Linked DNA regions of Sus scrofa. The protein of the gene in region 1 purifies or fractionates together with the protein of each later gene. This does not show direct contact. Links are inferred from orthologs where the notes say so. Each region holds a gene or a part of one and is shown on either strand. Other genes may lie near its edges. The genes, in order: ALK, PLCG1, GRB2 and SHC1.

Region 1 (5,901 bases):
ACTTCGTGTGTTCATTGTGCTTCCCTACTGCCAGTAGCGGATCAGCTCCTAGAGCACACTAATCTCTACATGAAACTCCCCCACTCAGCAGCTTCAACTCTTTATCTAATGCGTGACTGGAATACGTGTGTGTAACTGTGTGTCTCTTCAGAGACACCACTGATTACTTCATGCAATCTGCTTTCTTACAGTAGGTAAGTTCAGGGCTGCAGAAAGGACCCCTCTTGCCCATCACCAACATCTGACAACAGCTGGATCTAGACTGCTAGGGCCTAGGACCATTCAACAAGAGGTAACGAGAAATCTCCAGAGATGCTCAGAGACACAAAAGTGAAAGAAAATCTGCATTCCCAGAGAAGTAATTTTTATATCCATTACAAAAACATTAGGCACTAAAAGAGAATGTTGCATGTATAAACCACAGAAGCCAAGACAACATTAAAGCACAGCTGTTCTTTACAAAAGTATCCATGGTGAGGCAACAGTATTGGTCTCCTATCTCAGTTCACAGAAGACACTATCAAATTCATCAGGCCCTGCCTCTTGCCATGGACTGGTATAAACTCCAACGTTGAACACAAAGGGGTCATTTTAGGTGTCAATGCCACTAATGGTAATGCTGAAATATTCATCCAGACTTTGATTTCCCTGGGGACCATATACCAATGTTTTCTCTGCCATGACTAAGAAAGCTTAGCTTCTGAATATCCCTGCTGCACGACTCTTGGGTGTATGTGGGAGGATATGTGTGTGTTGGGACAAGCATGAGAGATACTTGTAGCTCTACAATGGGCTTTTTTCAAGGCTTTCAGTCCAATTAATACTAGACATTAGTAATCAGTGGAGCATAAGAAGTTCATTTATTTCTGACGATGAGAATGACAGAAAAGATGCTGAGTTTTGCTCAATGGAATTAGTGTAGGCTTTTTAAAAGCATGATTTCTTTTCTGTGTTTTCTCAATCATTTACACTGCATATTTTATTTGCAAGTCTTTCCCCAGTGGTCTTACAAGAGAAACTGTCCATTCAAAATCACCTAGTTTTCCAGGCAAAGGATACTATGGGAAGAGTTAGAAGTAAGTGCCTGCATACACACCCCCAACTCAGTGAATATGGGAAGAAAATGAGAGAGTAAATGAAACAGAAACCTCATTTCAGGAATCTCCAACAGAGAGATCTGCAGTGAAATAGGCCTGGCAGAGACTGTAACCCAGATCTTCTGCTGCAGACATTCAAGCTAAGAATTAGAAGGAAGAAACTGAAGGCACAGGAAGAAAGGGAAATCAACCACTGTCTCTCCCTGGCTTCAGAGTGACTCCCTCAAAGGAAAACAATTTTGGCAACTTTGCTCCCTCCCTCCACATCTCCCTCCTGTCCCCTATCCCTTAGTTCCCGTGGGGATCTCCCAAGACATCTGAGAGGAAGAACAAGAGTCTGTGAGTGGAGAGCAGCCTGGGGTTGGGTGGAGAATAGAATGAATTTATGAGGAAGAGGCAATTCCTAGGTAAACCAACATTTAGAGGGCATAGTTGGGTGGGATTTAACAATATGAAGAGGAGTTCTATATTCTCTGAGAAAGTGTATCACGTTCCCCAAACCTGTGGTGGCCAGAAAGAGGAACAAGAGGAAAAGAAGAAAGACAACAATTTTGAGATCTAGAACTAAGCCTTCGGAACACAGAAGTAATAAAGGGATTTCAAACGTCCCAGAAACCCCAGAAGACAGGCATTCAATTTTAGCTAAGATCTTGTGTAAGATAGTAGAAATCGTCATTCTCCCAAGACCAGGAAACTTTTTCCCCAAAGTGGTTGCTAGATAGAAAGGGAGAATCCCTTGGAGAGTGACTGTTCAGGGATAAAAATTTTTAAATATGGTCTAACTGAAAAAGGGGGGTTGCGGAAGGAGGGAAAGAAAGCTAAGAATCGCGAGCTGAGGTTTTGGAAATGAGGGTTAGTAAATAGCGGTTGAAAACTGATGCGTGTAAGAAACCAAATCCCGAAACGCTCGGGCACGAGCTGCTCACCGGTCCTGGTCTCCAAGATCTGGAAGAGAAGGCGGGGCTGTGAGGCGCGGATCGCAGCGGACAGCCTTCCCTCTCTGCCCACTTCCGACGCCTTCTTCTCGGGCATCAGGCGGATCCTCAGCCGCCCTTCGCCGTGGCGAATCCACCAGCTGAACAGCTCACTGAGGTTGAACTGGAGCAGCCCCACCGTCGTCTCCTCGGGGGGCCCTACACAGCCCTCAAGGATCGCTTCCTCTCCGAGCTCCAGCACCAGCTGCTTGGCGCGCCGGAGCTTGCGAATAGAGCCTCCCTTCAGCACCCTGGACAGCGTCCGTGCCTGGGCCGGGGCGGGAGAGCTGGCACCTGCTGTCCAGGAGACCTCGGGTGAAGGCCCCACCAGCCTAAGCAGTGGGGCGCAGTCGAGAACCAGAGAGCCGCGTGCCTCCAGCCGGCCAGTCCTCGGTTCCGAGGGGGACAGCGGCGGCAGCAGCAGGTCCCGGGCATAGACGCGAAAGAGCGAGGGCACCACAAAGTCCACCGCCAGGCTCTTTCTCTGCAAGCGCGAGTAGCTAAGCGGCTCCCGGGGTTGCAGTGCCAGCCCCATGGCCGGTGAGACCACGCGCTGGCCGGTTTCTGTCCCAGTCCCGGAACTCGAGGCTGCCGCTAAAAGCAGCAGCAGCAGCAGCGGCCATAGAAGCCCTATGGCTCCCATCCCGTCAGAGAGGGGTTGTTTATACTATCTCCCGACTCTCCCAGATCCAGCCTCGCCCTCCGCTTCCCTTAAATGGGAAGGGGCTCCGAACAGTGTTGATCCTGAGCCGCTCCTTCCACCTGATCTCGGGGGTTTGTGCACTCGATTCTCTTTCCTCCAACTGCAAGGAGGCAAGCAGTAATCTCAGTAAAACGGAGCTGGAAGCTCAGGGGCGTGTCAAGAGACCCTGAAGCGCAAAGGGCTCAGCAGCTGGGACCTTGTGCCTCTCGCCCGCCTCGCGGAGTGCCGCGCCCCGGGTTTTGCAGCTCACTGCGCCTGGAATGAGAGAGACGACTACGGTTAAAGAGAGATGGCAACTGGGTACCGTCCTCTCCTGCCCCCCGCGGCCTGAGCTGTGGTCTGTCCTCTCTTGCGCGGCCTTCAATCCTCTGCAACTTTCCTACTGTGAAAGGTGGCTCCGAGCTGGTCTGTTGTCCGGTCCGCCTCCTGAGCTGCCTTCGGCTCCTCTGAGCTCCTCTTCCTCGTCTTGAGAGGGAACCGAGGGCAACAGCTGCTTTCGCGCGCACCCTCCTGCGACCCTCTGCAGTGGGAAGTCTTCCGATTGCACTACTCACTGAACTTCTGGACCTAAACCGAGACCGCGCTGAGGAACGGACGCTCAGGCTGCCGCCGCGCAAGTTTGCAGCGTCCTTGCTCTCCTTCAGCGTCTGGTCTCAGAGTTCTGAGGCACCAAAGCGGCCCCAGCGGCCGCAGCCGAGTGAAAGCATTCAGGGCCGGAGAGACCGAAAGCTTGCTGCCCCCTCCTCACCCATCGGCAGCTCTCTCGGCTTCAGTGGCTGGCCAGAGAGCGACTGGAAGTCGCCTCTGTGCCCCGCGACCCTCAGGATCGTGACAGCGGGGCTGCCAGCTGCTACCGCCCCCAGAGCTGCTCTAACGCATCTGCCGGGGCGCCAGCCACTTGCAGCTGGCTGAGCCGCGAGCGCGCGCCGAGAGGGGGCGGGGCAGGATCGGGGGCGGGGCTCGAATGCCCACTCTCTGCCGCTGCAGGGCCCACGAAGGCCCGCCCCGCCCCGCTCGCACTCGCCAGCCAATTGCGCGGCGAGGTCGGCTCCTATGTAAATCTGCAGAAGACTCTGCTTTCATTGAGAAAAGCAAAGAGCCCTCCCCGCCCTTCCTCCATTCCTCTTCCCCCTCTCCTTCCTTCTCCTCCTCCAGATCCCCTGCCCTATTTCGCTGCTGTGTACAGAAAGAAGCGTGTTTTGGTAAATGGGAGGACTGGAAGAACAATCAAGCACTCTCCCTGATTTTGCATTTAAACGGGTCCGACTTCGGAAAAGCAGTTCTGGAATAAAACTGGAGGCCAAAGGAAGGGAGGAGGGGGAGGAGGGGGAGGAGGGGCAGAGCGACGTCGCCAAATTTGGGGGGGGACGGTCAGGGGGTGGGAAGTGACTGGCAATCTGCAGAGTTGTCATTCAGCTATAACAAACAAATTTCAGACCTCAGTCACCCCACGTTTACTCAGAATGCTGTTTAAATGTGTCACCTTATTTACATTGCAAGGTAAATATTTTAGGGATAAGGAAACCGAGTCACAGAGATCTTAACTGATTTTCCTAGGGTAACATAGTCCTACGTGCCTCCCAAGCTCTTACCCACTGCTCTGCCATACCCCTCTAGGAGTAACAGGCCAAGAAGATCTAGAAGTGACTTATCTAGAAGGAATAATGATCAGTACTCTTGCACACAGCCTTGGGAGTAAGAGTTCAGAACTGCAGGCCCGTTTTTATTCACCTGTGAAGTGAGAGCTGTATATTTCATCTCTCCATTGATCTCTCCTGAGTTACTATCATAGGATCTGGATAAATGCTGTGTTTACAGCAAGAGGTTCACTAAAATCATAGACAAAAGTACAGTCTTTGGTGCACAGAGTGGAGCTGAATCTCCCTTATGGAGCAGCAAAGAATGATCTATTCCAGAAAAGTGATGCTCCTACCTTGGTAGAGGAAGGAAAGGAAAGAGGGAAAAAAAAGAAGAGGAAGAAGAAGGTATGTTGGTTAATTCTTTCCTAGCATGTGAGCAAATAAGTTTAGATTTTCGTCGGACATCACTGGCATGCATATTGGTGGAGGGGTAATTTTTGTTTTGAAACACTAGAAAGACTAAAATGTAGGTCCTTTTATTCCCCACTCCAGCCCTTATTTCTCTATATAATTCTTGTCCAAAGTCAAATTGACTCCAGGAATTTGTCAATAACTATGAATTGGCTACAATCAATGGCCACTAGGGGGCTGCAGAGACTTTCAACTTCAGGTGCCCAGAAGGTTTACCATTCTCCCAAATAATCACCAAGACCATTGCCTATGAACCTAGTGGACACAGGAGTCTCAATTAATTATCATGCTTTTATAAACTTTCTCAAATTTCCCAAAAAGAAGGACAAGTGCCTCCCACTACAGACTAAATAATTTTTAAGTATTAAAAATATGGTTACCTTTTTGTTAATTTAGAAAAAGAGGCAGAAATGAGTTTTGACAGAGTTTATCTGTCACTATACATATGGATTTGTAAAACAAAGAGTGTGTGTGTATGTGTGTGTGTGTGTGTGCGCACACGCATGTGTATCACATCATATAGTGGCCTTCTGAGAAAAGGTACATATTTTATTTCCATTGCAGAGACAAAAAAGCTAAGGCTCAGAGAGGCAAAATAATTTGCCCAAGGTCAAACAGCAGGTAAATAACAGAGCTAGAACACACATCAGTGATTCTTTTCCTCCAAAATTTACATATCCCACTGAGACAAATTTGGCCTCTTCCCCAAGCCTACAGCTACAATTTTGACATTTCTATGCTATATATATATCATTGCCACTGGGCAATAGAAAAGAGCAGTTCAGAGCAAGTGGACAAAATAGAAACAGATTAAAAGTATGAGCAGAAGTGGTAACTAAAACATCTTGTGTAAATATTATGAACCATCATATTTCAAAATAATTTTCATGCATTACCTCACTTAAGATTCATACTAACACTACGAGGGGAAGTGACAGTATCTTTGTTTTACAGATAACAAATGGAAGTTTAGAGAGGGCAACTTCTCAATAGAGGACTATACAGGTAATAAGATTTGTTATAGGATTTAAACCTGATATCTGACTAAGAAGTGCATGGTTTCAAATCCTGGGAAA
Region 2 (5,228 bases), on another chromosome or scaffold:
GCTGTCGACCGGCTCCAGGTGCAGGAGTTCATGCTCAGCTTCCTCCGAGACCCCTTGCGAGAGATAGAGGAGACTTACTTCTTCCTGGACGAGGTGAGCCCTGCCTCTCACTCCCTGTCGCAGAATCAGGGAGCCGGTGGGCTGACCGGAGCCCCGCTGGGGCCTTCCCACTGTCCACTGTGCCCTCACCTGGACTGAGCACCCTCTCCTGCACCACCCTGTGCCGTGGCCCAGGGCAGGGGCTCATCATCTTCTCTCCTCTCCACATTTGTTTCTGGGCAGTTTGTCACCTTCCTGTTCTCCAAGGAGAACAGCGTGTGGAACTCGCAGCTGGATGCCGTGTGCCCAGACACCATGAACAACCCCCTTTCCCACTACTGGATCTCCTCCTCTCACAACACGTGAGTGGCCCGCTTGACCCCCTTGGCCTGACCTCAGGAGCTGGGGCTCGCCTGACCGCCCTGCCCCGCTTCCCTGTCCAGGTACCTGACCGGGGACCAGTTCTCCAGCGAGTCCTCCCTGGAAGCCTACGCCCGCTGCCTGCGGATGGGCTGCCGCTGCATTGAGTGTGCGTGGGGGCCGGCCTTGGGGGGGAAAGGGGAGGCCTGCCCGCGTGACTGTGGTCGCCTTGCTCCTCAGTGGACTGCTGGGACGGCCCAGACGGGATGCCGGTCATTTACCATGGACACACTCTGACCACCAAGATCAAGTTCTCAGACGTCCTGCACACCATCAAGGAGCACGCCTTTGTGGCCTCAGAGTGAGTGGGGTGGCTCAGCTCCAGCTCTCTCCTGGCCGCACCCCACCTTCCACCTCCTGCTGCCTGGCCTGCCAGAGCTGTGCTTCCTGCATCCTTAGCCCACCCTCTGCTTGAGGCCTTCTCCTCAGCCTGTGGTGCACAGTCAAGCTCTTCTCATCATCAAAATTACTTCCTTAGCCCTGGGCCCTGGGCCATTGTCCTGCCCACTGCTTTCCCCTCCCAACCCAGAGAATTGCCTGTGCTCCCTGTGTCTCGCTCTGCAGTTCCTGTTAGTCCTCCCAACCTGTAGTCATGGGGCTCTCCCACCTCACTGAGGGGGTCACCAGCCCCCCCACCCCCCATGGCTAATTTGGAGGCTGCTTGTCACCTCTCCTGACCTTGGGTGTGGGATGTTTCTCTTTGCTGCTGGGACAGCCTCCGTGGTTGGACCAACTCTGGGGACGCCTGTTGGCCACAGTCCCAGCCTTTGGTTTCTGCTGCACCCATAGTGCCTCTGTGAACCCTCCCCTCCTCCTGCGGTGGCAGGGCCCGCCTCTTCTCTGGGGTGGCTCTCTGGGGAAAGGACCTCAGCCCCTAGGCTCCCAGCTCGTCTCTTGGTGAGGACGTGAGCCTTGACGCTGCAGAATGGCAGGGTCTGTATCACGCACTAGGTACCCGGTCATCCTGTCCATCGAGGACCACTGCAGCATTGCCCAGCAGAGGAACATGGCCCAGTATTTCAAGAAGGTGCTCGGGGACACGCTCCTCACCAAGCCCGTGGACATCGCGGCCGACGGGCTCCCCTCACCCAATCAGCTCAAGAGGAAGATCCTCATCAAGGTAGGGCTGGCGTTCCTGTCGTGGCGCAGTGGTAATGAACCCACCTAGGATCCATGAGGATGCGGGTTCAATCCCTGGCCTCGATCAGTGGGTTAAGGATCCCGTGTTGCAGTGAGCTGTGGTGTAGGTTGCAGACACAACCTACTGTTGTTGTGGCTGTGGTGTAGGCCGGCATCTGCAGCCCCATTTGGACCCCTAGCCTGGGCACCTCCATATGCCATGAGTGTGGCCCTAAAATAGCAAAAAAAAAAAAAGGTAGGGCTGTGTGGGTCCCACCTCTGCTCCGGTGTCAGTCTGGGCCTGGGTGAGGGGGTGGGGCTCTGGGACCCAGGCTGGCATGCCATGTCCCGGCCTGTCCCCTGCAGCACAAGAAGCTGGCTGAGGGCAGTGCGTATGAGGAGGTGCCTACGTCTGTGATGTACTCTGAGAACGACATCAGCAACTCCATCAAGAACGGCATCCTCTACCTGGAGGACCCTGTGAACCACGTGAGGGCTGGGCCGGGCTGGGCCGGGGGCAGGGTGGCGAGAGGGCTGTCTCCACAGGCCTGGCTCCCCTCTCTTCCAGGAGTGGTATCCCCACTACTTTGTTCTGACCAGCAGCAAGATCTACTACTCAGAGGAGACCAGCAGTGACCAGGGCAACGAGGATGAGGAGGAGCCCAAGGAGGTGAGGGACTGGCCCAGGGCCGGGGGCTGGGCTGGGGTCAGGGTCATGGAGTGTCTCTGCCAGCGCCCTCCCCCTGCAGGCGAGCAGCAGCACAGAGCTGCATTCCAATGAGAAGTGGTTCCACGGGAAGCTCGGGGCGGGGCGGGACGGCCGGCACATCGCCGAGCGCCTGCTCACAGAGTACTGCATCGAGACCGGAGCCCCGGACGGCTCCTTCCTCGTGCGCGAGAGTGAGACCTTCGTGGGTGACTACACCCTCTCCTTCTGGTAAGCCTCCCTGCGCCTGCACATGTGGAGAGGGCGCCCCTGGGACAGCCACCCTGCAGCGTGGCACAGGTGCCCGTGGGCGCACAGGCTTCCTCAACGTGAAGACCCTGTGGGGCTCGCCTTTCTCCCCGAGACGGGGCGCCTCGCAGCGAGTGGAGGGTGGTCGGGCCGGCCTGCTGCTCACTGCCTCCCTGTCCCCCTCAGGCGGAACGGGAAAGTCCAGCACTGCCGGATCCACTCCCGGCAGGACGCTGGGACCCCCAAGTTCTTCCTGACAGACAACCTCGTCTTCGACTCACTCTACGACCTCATCACACACTACCAGCAGGTGCCCCTGCGCTGCAACGAGTTTGAGATGCGCCTCTCTGAGCCGGTCCCGCAGACCAACGCCCACGAGAGCAAAGAGTGAGGGCGGGGCCGGGGCGGGGCCGGGAGTGGGTGGGGGCGGGGCCAGGGCTGACTCCGGCGTCCACAGGTGGTACCACGCGAGCCTGACCAGAGCGCAGGCCGAGCACATGCTGATGCGCGTGCCCCGGGACGGGGCCTTCCTGGTGCGGAAACGCAATGAGCCCAACTCCTACGCCATCTCCTTCCGGTGAGGGGGCGCCCTGGGACCCCGGGGGTGGTGCCAGCACGCCTGGTCCCAGCTGTCCTGACCCTGTGTGACTGCTGTGTCTCTGTCAAGGGCTGAGGGCAAGATCAAGCATTGCCGTGTCCAGCAGGAGGGCCAGACTGTGATGCTGGGCAACTCGGAGTTTGACAGCCTCGTGGATCTTGTCAGCTACTATGAGAAGCACCCGCTGTACCGCAAGATGAAGCTGCGCTATCCCATCAACGAGGAGGCATTGGAGAAGATCGGCACAGCTGTGAGGACCTGGTGGCTGGGGGCAGTGGCGGGGGGGGGGTGCCTGGCAGGCCGCGGAGAGACCTGTGTGGTCCTCCAGAAATTCTCAGGCTTGCTGCCGGGCAGGGTGCACCTAAGGGTCCTTGGGTGATTGGATGGATGCAGTGGAGAGGCCCAGGGCATTTCAGCAGCTTGTGGGAGGGCTAGCTCGCCCAGCTGGGGGCACACAGGGTGCCAGGAGGTGTCCAGGAGGGAGTGGTCTCTGGGTGGTGTCCACAGGACAGGCATGAGTTAGGAGTGAAGAGGTGGAGACAGGCATTCAGTTAGAGTGTCCACAGTGGGCCGGGTAGGGAGGTCTTCACACTCTCACAGGGAGAGCCCAGGCCGGGGAGCACAGGCTCCACGCAGAGATGTGGTCGAGGCGGGCAGAGCCCCAGTGGAAGACCACTGAGGAAAGAAGGCAGGGTCGTGGCCACGGGGAGAAGGCAGGCGTCCAGAGTGGGAGGTATGTCCACTGGAGACTCTGGTCCGAGTGGGCCCAGGTGGCCAACAAGGCCACGGAGAGGGCTGCCGCCCGCTGGGGCTGGGAGGTGAGAGGTGTGTGCTGGGAGCACTTGGGGTGGCGGTGGGGGTCCTGGCGCCTGCATGGCTATGCCGTGCGCCTCGCCTGCAGGGCAGGTCTTCAGGAGCTGGGCTGTGGGCTGGGCAGTGAGGTGAGAATGTGGAAAGAGGGGCTGAGGCGTGAGGTTGGGGCAGCCCAGTGGACCAGGTGTCAGCGGTGGGGGCGGACTCGACGGGTCTCGTGAGGAAGCCAGCTTTCCTCGCTGGGTGTTAATGTCCTCTGTCCTGTCCTGTTTCCAGGAGCCTGACTACGGGGCCCTGTATGAGGGCCGCAACCCTGGCTTCTACGTGGAGGCCAACCCTATGCCGACTTTCAAGGTACAGCCTAGTGCTCTGGGCACAGGAAGCTGGGGAGGGTCCCCAGCTGCTCGGGGATTGCATTTCTCTGCTCAGGGCCGCCTGTGGTCTTTGTGGAGAAGTGGTGTTTGTGGTTTTCCGAGGCCTGAGCGGTGGTGAGAGGTATGCGGTTGATGCGCAACCGCAGCTCTCCCAGGGCTGACCCCTCCCAGGCCTTGTCCCTGGGGGTCAGCCCTGACTCTTCCCGACTGCCCCTGGGGTGAGCCCCCTTTCCTCCTGGGCCGGCAGCAGGACAGGGTGGGGGCACGCTGGCCAGAAGACGTCATTTTTTGCCGCTCCGCCCCCACACCTCCAGGGGGGGGTCTGTCAGACAGGACCTTCCTCGCTTCGCCTTTTCTTCTGAGGGACGAGGAGCTGTGTTCTGCCCTCACCCCCTTTCCTCGGCAGCCCGGGAGCCTGCGGGAGTCTCTTGCCTACTTGGCAGAGGAGGAATGGCGGGGTCCCAGCCACACCCCAAGGTCCCCTGGTCTCAGGGGAGGCACTCAGCACCCACAGACGCTCCCTTCCCAGCCTCCCAGCCTGACGCCCGGGGCAGGGGCTTCAGGGTTCCACCCAGACCCCATGGAGCTTCCCGCAGGCCCAGGGCCAGGACTGCAACGAGGGCGGGTTTCCGGCAGTGACAGCCGAGCCCAGGCACACGCGTGTGCGCAGGTGGAGCAGGGAGGGCCTGTCCGCCGTGCTCAGCGCGCCTCTCCCCGCAGTGTGCCGTCAAAGCGCTCTTCGACTACAAGGCCCAGAGAGATGACGAGCTGACCTTCACCAAGAGCGCCATCATCCAGAACGTGGAGAAGCAGGAGGGAGGCTGGTGAGGTGGCCCCGGGTTGAGAGCCTTGGTGCTGGCGGGGGTCCTGGGTGCCCATGGGCCTGCGCGGGAGTTTGGGGTGGTGGCTG
Region 3 (5,761 bases), on another chromosome or scaffold:
AAAAAAAAAAAAACACCAAAAAAACTCAGATGGAATGTACTGGGGTTTCCTTGGGTAACTTCCTAACCGCTTTAAGCCTCAGTTTCCCAGTCTGTAAAATGGAGAGAGTATCCAGTGTAAAAACACCATGATATCAGCATACATCACGTGGTAGATAGATGGTCCTCTTGTTCTTTTCCCCTCATGCCAGACAGCTCCTGCTCAAAACCCTTCAGAGGCTGTCATTTGTCAGCAAAGCCTCAGCCGCACATCTTGGCCTTGCCTCCCATTACTCTGCTCCCTGGATCCTAAACTCTGGCTGATCTGGAAGACCAGCGATTCCATCACTCCCCCTCCCTGTTTCCAGGTTATAGTTCAAATGCCAAGTCCTCCCTGATTGCCTGAGCTCCAGGTAACTGGCCCCCTCCTTTGCAGGTCCTACATGTGACCCTTAGGGCCAACTCTTCTGTCTTGCAGACCAGACAACTCTCCTCTAGAAGACAAACTGCTGAAAACAGAGGCTCTGTCCAGTTCATTTATCACCCTGCGTGCCACGCATGCAGCTGATGCTTGACAAATACTTGGTGAAAGAATAATTCATACTCTTTATTTCAACGGGCTTGTTTTCTTCAGGGAATCATGTTTTGTTTTGTTTGTCTTTTTGGCCTTTCTAGGGCCCAGGCTAGGGGTCCAATCAGAGCTGTAGCTGCCGGCCTACGCCAGAACCACAGCAATGCGGGATCTGAGCCGCGTCTGCGACCTACACCACAGCTCACGACAACGCCAGATCCCCAACCCACTGAGCAAGGCCAGGGATCGAACCCGCAGCCTCATGGTTCCTAGTCAGATTCATTCACCACTGTGCCAGGACAGGAACTCCCACGTTTCTTAATTTTTATATCTTGCTCTTTTGGTGGCTTCCGGAATTCACATCACCGTCAGATGCTCTGTTCTCTCCTTTGATTGGGACTGAAAAATAAGAGTTACTCCTCCAAGCCTCATCTTCTGCCACTACCAGGTAACTCACCCCGCCTCATACAGGAATCAAACTACTTCGCGTTGCAGGGAACACGATGCCCACGCCTCCGTTCCCTCGTACGTGCGTGCTGTTCCCTTTGCCTGGAATGCCCTTGCAATGGCTTCTCTGGCAAACTCCTACTCATCCTCCAAGACAGCTCAGATAACGCCACAGCGTTCTCCGAGAACGCTTTTCTGAGATGGGAGGAGCGGCGACCCCTCGCCTCTCCTCAGCCTTCTCCAAATAATTCTGACCGTACTTATGGTATTATTTGTTCTTTCCCTCCTATAGATCTTGAATTCGTTTCTGTGCAGAAAGGGCCCGGATTTCTGTTCTTAGTTGGACCCTCTATACTTGACACAGTGCTTAGAATGTACTAGGCACTTGGTTCAATCGATGAGCGAACGAATATGTTCATTCACCTAACGCAGCAGAGTTTGTTTGGACCAGATTCTCAAATATTTCCAGACCTGATCCTCTATTTGGCTTGCTTCACGTGGGAGGGAGATTCCCCCCCAACCCCGCCAAACTGGGTTGGTGGAAGGGGAAAACGAAGTGATTAGGGTGTGCATAAAAGTCCTTTCTTGGCTGGGGGAAAAATGTAATTGTAATGTATACATGTAAGGATAACCTGACCCCCTTGCTGTACAGTGGAGAAATAAAAAAAAAATAAGTTGATATCGGCCATCAAAAGTAATATGACAATTGAATCATGCAAATGTGGGGCATAAAAAAAAAAAAGTCCTTTCTTTCGGAGGTGAGTTGTAATTGACCCGCTCTGGCACCGAAAGGGTTACGGCGACCCAGGGGTGGAGCCCTGTCGGTGCCACCTGCTGCGGGGCGGCCTGGCGCCTGCGCTCTGGCCTGTAGCTGATCTACCTGCGGGGGGCCTGGCGGAGGAGGAGCGCTTGCGCTCTGGGCCTTTTCCGCCGGGGGAAGTCTCGCGGGGGCGGGGCGGGGCGGGGCCGCACAGGGAAGTTCTCGCGGGACCCCGACCAGGAGCGGAAGCGAGGCGGCTGTGCTGCTTCAGCTACCGGACCGCGGCGGCGACGACGAAGACTGTGGCGGTGACGGCGGCGAGAATAGGCGCTGCCCTCGGGGAGCAGCAGAGGGGTCTGCGGCCGCTCGCACCGCTGCAGAGGGGCCGGCCGGGCGTGGAGCGGAGCAGCTGCGCCACGGTGAGTGTGGCTGGCGGCGACGGCGCTGCTCGCGTGCTGCTTCCTCCCCGCTTCGTCGCGGGAGTCGGCCCCGGGGGACCGGGCCCAGGGTACCGTGGGCTGCCGGGCCTGGGGGTCGGGAGTGCGAGGCTCCGGGCGGGGAGCGGAGCGCCCGGGCTCCGGGCTCCATGTTTCCCCTTTTGGGGCGCTTCCTTCCCGGGGACCGTCCTCTCAGTACCCTTGGCTTGGAACAGAGCCCTGGACGAGAGGCTGGGGGCTCCTGATTTAATTTTATGCTTTCTTCGTGAAGGTTTGCACAGGGGGGACCCGGAGAAGCCCGAGAACACAGGGTAATCATTCTGTGAGTCAGTGTGACTTGGCCCGGGAGGCGGGGGATTCGAGGCGGGTTGCAAATATGGTGATTGATGCTCCTTCGACCTATACGGCCACCACGTCACCAACTCCTGGTGTTTGGGGGCCGAATTTTGGGAGGAAACCCACCAACCCTATTAATACTGTGAGCGAGGACGTTTGTTACCGGAGCCAGTAGAAATACCTTTACTTTTATTGCGCTTTTTTTTTTTTTTTGACTGCTTCCCTAAAAACATTTGTTAAGAAAAGTAAGCAGCAGTTAATCGGAATGCTCCGAAGAAAGATTTCCGTGATCGAGGGCAGAGAATCGCTGGCACTTTTCATTTGCAGCTCTCTCTGTGTATAGGATTGTAAAGCCATGCTAGTTAACAGCTTATTTAGGGAGTTCACCTAGGCTGGCTTCAGATGCAGCAAAAGTATACTTTGCAGAAGAGCCGAAGTGCCCTCGCGGGTTCTGTCTTTTGCTACTCTTGAGTCTCAGAAGAGGGTGGAAAAGAAAGGCGCACTAGAGAAATTCGCTTTAGTCTTCTGGGCTTTCTAGTCCCTCTGTTCACTTTGCACTCCACAGTTGCTGCCTTTCTAAACTTCTCCCTTGTCTTCTGCGGCCACGAAATGCTTACTCCGTATAATGCAAGTCACTTGCCCCCTCCCCCCTTTTAGTCTAATCTACTTCCCCTTCCTCCTTATTGTCCCTTTTGGCATAATTTTTTGAGGTTTCTGCTCTTTCGCCCGTTCGTTTTTCTCCCTCATTTAAAGATTCCGTTTCTCTCCCGGAAAGATGATGCCCTCTTCCCTGCTTTATCCTTTGCTGTGAAGCGTCCACTGTGTTTCTTCAGTCAGCCAGAAGGGTTGCTAGAGAGCTGTGCGAGACTTAAGGTCTCCCCCTGGGAGCTGGGAGGCTCAAAGGATTGAGTTCAGCCGTAACCAATACTGCACTAATACTGCACTAGATCACAAGTGTAGCTTGCTGGTGTTTTTGTGTTTTAGTTGTTTTTTTTCACTTTTAGATCGCATTTTTGTGCCTGCTCAGGTTTTTCTATGTCTCTCTTATGTTAGTAAGGAAGATTGGGTCAATTTGGGGCTCATATGCCTTCTTTTTGGCTTTTAGCGGGGGAGGCGACTTAAAAAATGAAAACCAACCATAGACACCTATATTACAATCAAGAGAGCTTGAACCATTTAAGGGAATAGAATTTATTTAGACTACTGATGAATTAATTAAAGCTTGCCTGTTGGAGTAGTACTAACTTATTCTTTCCCAGGCTTTTAAAGATCAGGTGTCTCTTCCTGCATCTGCTATAAGCAGCCTTCTTTGTTATTGTTGCTGGGCTTGAGGGGGGAAGGCGGTTGACAGAAAGAAATAACTATGTTCTGTTGGCCTTTCCTTTGTTTAAAATGTTCTGAATCCCCCAAATTTAAAAAGGTTAATTCTTGTAATCAGCTTTGTTTGTTACTAAAAGCAAGCACTCAAATGCTTGAGGCAGTTTACTTCCTCAGCAAGTGTGTTCAGATTTGAGGGATTACTAGGTTTTTCAATACAACTAATTGATGGTACTTAGAGATTTTTCCCCGAAATTCTTGTTACCATGTTGCACATTGTGTAGCAACAGTTCTAATGGTTACTTAGAACAAAAAAGTAATAGATTTTGGAGAAATGAAGTAATACGGAATAGAGACCCACTATGGTTTCCTGAGAGAAATTAATAGTTATTCGCTTAATTCAGAAGACATTTCTGGCACTCCTGAATGACTATTGAGAGCCTTTGTTTTTTTTTTGTTTTTTGTTTTTTGTTTTTTTTTTGTCAAAGTTGGCTTTTTCACAGTTGTGCCAAGTGGATAGGCGTTATTTTCAATTTATGCAAAGACATTATGCATCATCTGAGATGTAAACTTTAAAATCTGGTAAAGATACCTTTACAGTACAGCATGATTTTTTAAATTTAGCATGCATAAGAATTACCTATGAATCTTAACTTAAAATTAGGTTCTGGAGTTCCCGTTGTGGCTCAGTGGTTAACAAACCTGCCTAGGATCCACGAGGACGAGGGTTCGATCCCTGGCCTCGCTCAGTGGGTTAAGGATCCAGTGTTGCTGTAAACTGTGGTGTAGGTCGCAGATGCGGCCCCATCCCACATTGCTGTGGCTGTGGTGTAGGCCAGCGGCTTCAGCTTCAATTCTTCCCCTAGCCTGGGAACTGCCATATGCCACAGGTGCAGCCCTAAAAAGACAGAAGACCAAAAAAAGAAAAAAAAAATTAGGTTTTGGGCCTAAGGCCACTGTGCTGCAGAACTTCAGAAGGCACCTCGTAGTGAATCAGTCCCTGAAAGAGGTGATTTTGATGTAGCTGGTCCAAGGACCAAAACTGTTGTTACAGAATGCATCCATAAATTGAGATGGTAGTGTGGCTTTAAATTACTCAGCATAAAATTACACTTTCAGTGTATACAGAGTAAATTTTTAAAAGCCTAACAGAATAAGTGGCTGTAGATATGATTAGTTGTTGTATGTGTGAATATTTGAGCATTGTTAGGACTTGGTGTGGAGCTATTTAATTTGAAAGTTTATGCTTAATAGGGCTGTTAATTTGCCTGCCAGAGAGTTCTTCAGAGTATGTATGTAGATGGAAGTTCTGGATTATTGTGAGAACACGGGGGCCGATATTTGAGAAGGGGCTGGTGGTGCCGGTAAACACCTCTTAGCACTCTGTGCCGGGCACTCGGCTAAGGCCTTTTACAGGTGCTGACTCTCTTAATTAGTAAAATGACCTAATACGGTGTAGATGCCCTTATTTTCCCCATTTCCCAGCTGAAGGATACTAAGCATTAGAAAATGTAAGTTATTTCTCTACTGTTGCCCACTCAGTTAGTAAATGGTAAAGGGACAGTTGAGTCCAGGTCTAATTCCAGAGCATCAGTAAGATTTTGGTTTTTGTTTTTTCTAGCTACAAAAGCAGTTCATGCTTATAGTAAGGACAATGAAAATACAATCGAGATGTATGGTAGGAAAGTAAAAATATTCTGTGATCTCATTTCCAGAGATAATTATTGTTAACCTTTTGAATTTTTTTTTTTGTAGCACGCAATATATATTATTTTGCTTTATATACTTATATAGAAAGATATTTCTTAGTTACGCTCATGGAAATAGGTTAGAGATGTAGTATTTTGCACATGGTATTTGTGTCACTGTTTCAAGTGAGGTGAATCTTGGAAGTGGAATGGCTTGCCCAAGGGTA
Region 4 (5,989 bases), on another chromosome or scaffold:
GGCACTAAATATGGAGAAATGGGCAAGAGAGAGGGACAGGCCAGAAAGAGATGGCTGGGACTAGGAAAGCCCATCCAGCCAGGAAGAGCTGGAGCGGGCGGCCCTGGACTACAGCTCCAGCACGGGCACCCGAGAGGAAGAGCTGGCCTGGCAGCAGGCAGGGCCTCGAAAGGCCTTCCCCATGGCCTCAGGAAACGTAAGAATAGCAGGAAGTGGGAAGCAGGGGCTCACAGGTTATTTCCTTCCCTGCTCCTCTCTGAGCTCAAGCGTGGGAAGAGCAGACCTACTTTTCCAATTCCGGTCCCAGCCCGAGAGCTGCCCCCCCCCACCGCTCGCCTGCTCACCTGTCATGAGGGGTGACCAGCTTGGGCGGGTTCCTGAGGTATTGTTTGAAGCGCAACTCAAAGGCCTGGCCAATGGTGCTGATGACGTCCTGAGCAAGCCCTTCGGGACACTCCAGGATGTGGCAGGCTGGGGGCACAGCAGAGGCTGTCAGGGAACTCGGGGGGAAGGCGGGGGGCACGCACAGACGGGGCCCTCGCCCTCATTCTCCGCAGCAGGAGCCCCTGCTGAGCTCCCGGGTCCTGCTCACCTGTCTCTCTGACAGCCGGCCCCACCCAGCGCTCCCCACCACGCCTCACCTCTCTGATTCACCGGGTCTTTGGCAACATAGGCGACATATTCGGCTGTGTCCTGGGGTAGACAGAATCAGAAGAGGCCAGTTAGCTCAACGGTAGAGCCCCACCTCAGTCCTGACCCCTCAAACCCGGCCCTAAGCAGCTATTGCCTCGGTCCTAGCACACTCACCTCTCTAGCCAGTTTTCCCCCCCCCCATCCCAAGCCCCTCTCTCCTCTCCCACCACCTTGGTGCACTCCCCGACTCACCGGGTCCCCGCCGGACGCAAACGAGATGGATTGCATATGGTGGTTGGCGATGATCTGAGGGTTAGGGCAGAGGATGGAGAAGGAAGGGAAGGACGGGTGTCAGGCAGCCTGAGGGTCCACTGGGCACCCCCCACCACTGGCCCGGGACCCCAGCGTCCCTTTGGCTTCTCAACCCATGTCCTCCTAATCTACACCTTCCCTACAGCTCTGCTGCGCCCAAGGCTTCTCTGCTAAGTTCTTGCCCTCGTGGCCAGGTTCCCACTGAGCCTTCCCATCGGTGTTTCTGCACGCCCTCACCCCCCGCCCTGACCCTGACTCCACCCCACCAACCTGTTTGCAGTCTGCGGCCATGAGGTTGAGGCTGCTGGTGGAGACGGTGAGAGTGATTGGCATTCCAGCAAATTTCAGGTTACTCCTCCCCAGGATGGAGCTGAGTGGGCGGCCACAGGGCTGGGGAAGGGCCCCAGGTCTCAGAAGCTGGGAGATCCCACACCAGGAAACCGCCCGCACTCCTGCCCTTCTCCCCACACGCGCCACACTAGCCTTGCCCCTGCTCCTCCGCATCTCCCGGCAGCATCCCCCGTGCCGTGGACCCCAGGTACCTTTCTCCTCCTTGTCGCCCCCTTCGCACCCGGCACAGCCTCACACACCAGACTGATGGCCTCCCTGGGGAAAGAGGGGTACTCAGACCCAGAGCCTGCCTCCCACTCGGCTGGGGCTGCCACAGGGCTGGGGGAGGGGAAGGCCAGGCCAGACTCCAGGGGCACTCCAGGCTCTTTGTCGTGGTGGATTGAATTAAGGGCCTTTAATATTTGATGACACTGAGAGGCCGCTTCCTGGCTGATTGGGTTAGGGCCTCAGTGGGTCTGGCCCCACCCCCTTCCAGCTACCAAATGTCCCAGCCCCTTCCCAAAGGCGGTGGTGGTGGTGGTGGTGGTGGTGGCGGCAGTGGTGGTGGCGGCGGTGGTGGCGGCGGCAGCGGCGGGCAGCAACCTTCCATCTACCCCCATTTTCCACTCAAGCTCCAGCTGCCAGCTGCCTCTGCCACCTCCCCCACAACTCCCCAGGCTGGATACGTAGAAGGAGCCGGGTCAGAGTTGTCTCTTTTCATTGAGACTTAGACTGACTCTCCTACCTGTCTCTAAATCGCCTTCCCCACCCAAAGACAAGCCAGCACTAGCCACCACCACCAAGCGACCCCCTCCCGGCCTGAATGCCAGGAGCCCTGCGCTCTCGGCCCCGCCTCCCCACGAACCTGGTGACCTGAGTCCGGGTGTTGAAGTCCAGGGCGCGCATCGACTGCAGGACCTCCACACAGCCCATGTACTGAGGGGAGGGATGCGAGGAGGAGAGTCAGCCGCCCCCCTCCAGCCTCTTCACAAAGGGCCGTAGGACTCTGCCCTACGTGGTCCCTCAGGGAAGAAGAGATGAAGTTCTGCCCCGCTGCCCGTGGCTCCATCCCACAGAGTGCAGGACAATAGGGGGTGAGGAGAGAAGGGCGAGCTAGGAGGACCTCCTGCACAGTGGGGGGTGGGGGGAGGGAATTTGGAGGGGAGCGACAGGCCCTGGCTGGGATGGAGTGACAACTCCAGAAAGGGGGAGCAGACTGGAGGGGAGTCACTCAAGAGCCACTCATTCCAACACTTACTAAGGGCCTGTCCTGGGCTTTGTGCTGAGCATGGCAGGCTGGGGGTAGGGGTGGGGGAGTCGCAGGACCCAAGGGGACCCAGACAGAGCTGGAAGAGAAGGGGCTACAGAATCAGAGAAGGCGCACAAAAGGCTTAAGAAACAGGACACGGAAACCAAGGGAGTTGCTGGGGAAAAGAAGGGGCGAAAAAGAGAGACTCATGAGCAGAGGAACTGAAGGGGTCAGGGAGGGAGGACGCTCACTCACCCGAACCAAGTAGGAAACCCCGGGTCCCATGACTTTGTCGTTGGGATGCAGCCAGCCCCGCGTGGGCTTATTGACGAAGCTCCCGTGGCGGGTCCACTCCTCGCCCCCCAGCTGGCCCCCTTCCACCCGAGTCCTGCGCCCGCCGCCTCCACTCAGCTTGTTCATGTCCTGGAGGAAGGGTAGGGGGCCCGAGTCGGGTACAGCTGCCCCGACGGTCCCCTCCCCATCCTCGGCTGCCCTTCCTGGCTCCCCCTTCGGCCCTGGGCGCCCCCCAGCTGGGTTGGCCAGCTTCAGGTTGCTCATCCGGGGGAAGAAGGAGCACAGGGTGGTGGGGCTGTCGTCCCCTGGCAGAGGTGGCAGCATGGGCCCCAGGGACGAGGCTGACGGGGAAGGCAGCTCCTCTGGTGGAGTGGACCCTGAAGCCCCCTCCTCCAGCGATGACAGAGACTCATTCCGAAGTGGGTTGTACTTGGGCTTGGGGGGCAGGAGATCCATGGCTGGAGTGAGAGGGAGGCTGCTGCCCAGCCTGGCCCCCCTGCCAGTCAGGGCAAGGGGGCCAGGCAGGGGGCATCCCCAGGCCCTTAGCCTGATCGGACCTCTGTGGCCCAGGGGTCTCAAGGGTCCTGGGGAGGGAGAGGGACAAGTGGCTCTGGCTCCCGCGGCTCAGACCCAGACAGTTCCAGGCCCCATCTCTGCCCAGCGTGGAGCCTCTTCTCTGGCTGAGAGGAGAACAGGCTGGACCTAGAGCTGCCTGGCTCCTCCCCAGGGGCGGGGAGCAAAGGGGAGAGACCAATCCCGTGGACAGTGCTGACTCACAGGCTCTGAGGGGCTGAGCCCCCAACACCGCCCCAACCTAGAACTCTTTCGGGGCAGAGTGCACCGTGCCCCCACCGCCCGCCCCACCCCCGTCCCCCCCCCCGCCCCCACCCCGGCCCACCCCGTACAAACAACATGTAATCTAGGGAGGAGTAGAGTGGGATTGGAAGGGAAGGATGGAGGGGTGAGAAGGAAAGGAGGGCGATAAGAGGAGGTCTGGATCAATCCAAACCGGACATGGGCAGGTCAAAGGGAGCAGGAAGCTGGTGGGGGGAGTGGGGAATGAGGGAGGAAACAGAGGCAGCTGGGGGTGGGAAAGGGAGGGGATCCCTGAGCTCAGCATTTCCCTTCCTGTCCTGGTCGAACACTCAGATTCCCTCATCCCCCAGCACCCCCTAGTCTCGGTCATTAGCATCCTCCGCTGCAACAGCCGGGGAGGGAGCTACAGAAATGGGAAAAGGAAGGACATGGTCCCGGTGGATGCAGAGAGGGGCCAAGGGGAAGGGCAGAGCTGGTGAAGTAAGGGAATGAAGTCCCTTACTTCATCATCATGATGGGTGTTGCATCAGGGAGCCACCAGGCAGGAGCCGGAGCAGACGACAGGCTGGTGGAGGCTTGTTCTCTGCATGGCGTCTACCATGCCAAGGAGCAGCAACTCATGCCAGGCACCCTTCTGCAGCCCCCCACCACTTTCCGCAGCCAAGCAAGTTATCAAGGGTAGGAGGGGTGGGGGCTGCCAGGGCACTGACACTAACGTCAGTGCCCTGGACCTGCAGGTAAGCTCCTACCCCTCCTCTGGCCGTAGGGACCCTAGAGAGTACAGGTATCCACCACAGAGCCCGAGGCCCCACCCCGCCAGGGGCAGCGTCTGGCTGGGGAGGGGAGAGTGAAACAGTTCTCCAAGAGGAGGGGGACGGGGGCTACAGGCCACGAAGGGATAGGGTAGGCAGAAGACCAATCTGTGCCAAGGGGAAAGGAGTGCCAGGAAAAGGAGGACTGAGGCTGGACACAGGAAACAGTCTCAAACCCATTCCTTCCACCCACAGCTTCACGCCAGCTCTGCTCGAGGGGGCCATGGAGGCAGCTGGAAAGTGACCAAGAAATAAAGAGTGAAAGATATATATAGCCCCCCAGGCTGGCCTCGGAATATCTATCCTTAAATTTATCTCCCAGGATAAAAAGACAGCAAATAATCATAGGATTATAGTGATCAACAGCACCAGCACTTCGAACGTGTCAGACACTGTGCTTATCACCTCCTCTTGGTCCACAACGGAGGAGAGCTTTGCCACTCCATTTGCCACTCCTGGGAAGAAACTCTATGGCTCTCTTTCCTAAGGCCTCAGCTCCCAGGCCTAGAGAGAATGAAGAAAGTATGCTGCCGGAGCCTCACACCTTCCACACACACAAACACACACCAGGATGTGCTCATCTTCAGAGGCAGGCATTTGGTGGCTGCCTGCAGGATCCAGAGGTCGTGGATGACCAACAGGTGTGGGCATCGTCAGACAAAAGAGAGGAAGCAGGGCTCTTTAAATTTACGTAGGAAGAAAAGAGATTGCTACTGAGAGTCCTGGCCTCTGGGTGTGGGGAAGAAGCTGCGTGTGGCGCCTCAGCCCAGTAGGGAGGAGGAGGCAAGAGCGGCGGAAAGTAGCAGGAAATGGCGAAAGCCTCAGGAATGTTTCCAGAAGGGAAGGCTGGGCAAGCGGGAAAGAGGAATGCCCAGACTAGAACTCTGGTTAGGGGGAAGGGAAGAGCCAGAGAAATGCTGCGGCCTGAGGAGGCCCTTAAAAAAAAAAAAAAAAAAAATCAAAGAGCAAAAAGGACACTGTTCCCTAACCCACTGCAAGCCACTTTCTGGTGATAGAAAATTTGCGCTTCTGTCACACCCACATGTCGCACATCAACAAATCCATGGCCCTACCCAGCTCCCGACGATGACCACGACGACGACGATGGACAGGTATGAGACAAACAGCTGTTTCTGGGGTGGAGTCGGTCCTGGGAAGGGAAACTCAGGGAGTGGGGTTGGGAGTCTATGAGCAAGTCTCCCTCCCGCTCTCGTGCCAAACCCCAAGTCCAGCCCCCTACAAGTAGGTCCACCCTTGTAAGGGGATAAGGACAAGGGCTGCCTCTAATCTCTTACTTCTCAGAACCAGAGATGTGAACTTTTGCCTTCCTACCCGGTGGAGCATGAGAGCTCAGGAAAATTGAGCTAGAGGCCCCAAAGAGAAAAAGAACAGGGAAATGTAAGCAGGTGACGTTCCAGGGGCTGAAGACAAAGCTCCCCAGGCGATGACCTGGGACCTACAGGGATAAAGATCTTGAGGGGGCGTGGTCCCTTAGGACGCGTGCATCAGAGATTTCCAGGAGGCCAGGCTTCTGGGCGATCAG

The links.
Region 2: the proteins of ALK (region 1) and PLCG1 purify together in Homo sapiens (affinity purification with western blotting; 3 studies listed by BioGRID, with this or other methods). This does not show direct contact. The link is inferred for Sus scrofa from reciprocal best matches to the Homo sapiens genes ALK and PLCG1.
Region 3: the proteins of ALK (region 1) and GRB2 purify together in Homo sapiens (affinity purification with western blotting; 3 studies listed by BioGRID and IntAct, with this or other methods). This does not show direct contact. The link is inferred for Sus scrofa from reciprocal best matches to the Homo sapiens genes ALK and GRB2.
Region 4: the proteins of ALK (region 1) and SHC1 purify together in Homo sapiens (affinity purification with mass spectrometry; 3 studies listed by BioGRID and IntAct, with this or other methods). This does not show direct contact. The link is inferred for Sus scrofa from reciprocal best matches to the Homo sapiens genes ALK and SHC1.

Annotation. Positions count from the first base shown.
Region 1 is NC_010445.4:109,408,985-109,414,885, reverse strand, and holds the start of ALK (ALK tyrosine kinase receptor), read right to left. Parts: upstream 3,741-5,901; 5' UTR 2,715-3,740; coding exon 2,024-2,714; intron 1-2,023. UniProt on the Homo sapiens protein: Neuronal receptor tyrosine kinase that is essentially and transiently expressed in specific regions of the central and peripheral nervous systems and plays an important role in the genesis and differentiation of the nervous system.
Region 2 is NC_010459.5:43,833,013-43,838,240, forward strand, and holds part of PLCG1 (1-phosphatidylinositol 4,5-bisphosphate phosphodiesterase gamma-1), read left to right. Parts: coding exon 1-93; intron 94-282; coding exon 283-401; intron 402-482; coding exon 483-568; intron 569-639; coding exon 640-760; intron 761-1,410; coding exon 1,411-1,579; intron 1,580-1,944; coding exon 1,945-2,067; intron 2,068-2,146; coding exon 2,147-2,248; intron 2,249-2,327; coding exon 2,328-2,515; intron 2,516-2,719; coding exon 2,720-2,920; intron 2,921-2,990; coding exon 2,991-3,110; intron 3,111-3,200; coding exon 3,201-3,381; intron 3,382-4,220; coding exon 4,221-4,298; intron 4,299-5,038; coding exon 5,039-5,142; intron 5,143-5,228. UniProt on the Homo sapiens protein: Mediates the production of the second messenger molecules diacylglycerol (DAG) and inositol 1,4,5-trisphosphate (IP3). Plays an important role in the regulation of intracellular signaling cascades.
Region 3 is NC_010454.4:5,938,679-5,944,439, forward strand, and holds the start of GRB2 (growth factor receptor-bound protein 2), read left to right. Parts: upstream 1-2,044; 5' UTR 2,045-2,175; intron 2,176-5,761. UniProt on the Homo sapiens protein: Non-enzymatic adapter protein that plays a pivotal role in precisely regulated signaling cascades from cell surface receptors to cellular responses, including signaling transduction and gene expression.
Region 4 is NC_010446.5:94,820,475-94,826,463, reverse strand, and holds the start of SHC1 (SHC-transforming protein 1), read right to left. Parts: upstream 3,631-5,989; 5' UTR 3,275-3,630; coding exon 2,780-3,274; intron 2,212-2,779; coding exon 2,141-2,211; intron 1,552-2,140; coding exon 1,488-1,551; intron 1,336-1,487; coding exon 1,216-1,335; intron 940-1,215; coding exon 886-939; intron 694-885; coding exon 642-693; intron 472-641; coding exon 345-471; intron 1-344. UniProt on the Homo sapiens protein: Signaling adapter that couples activated growth factor receptors to signaling pathways. Participates in a signaling cascade initiated by activated KIT and KITLG/SCF.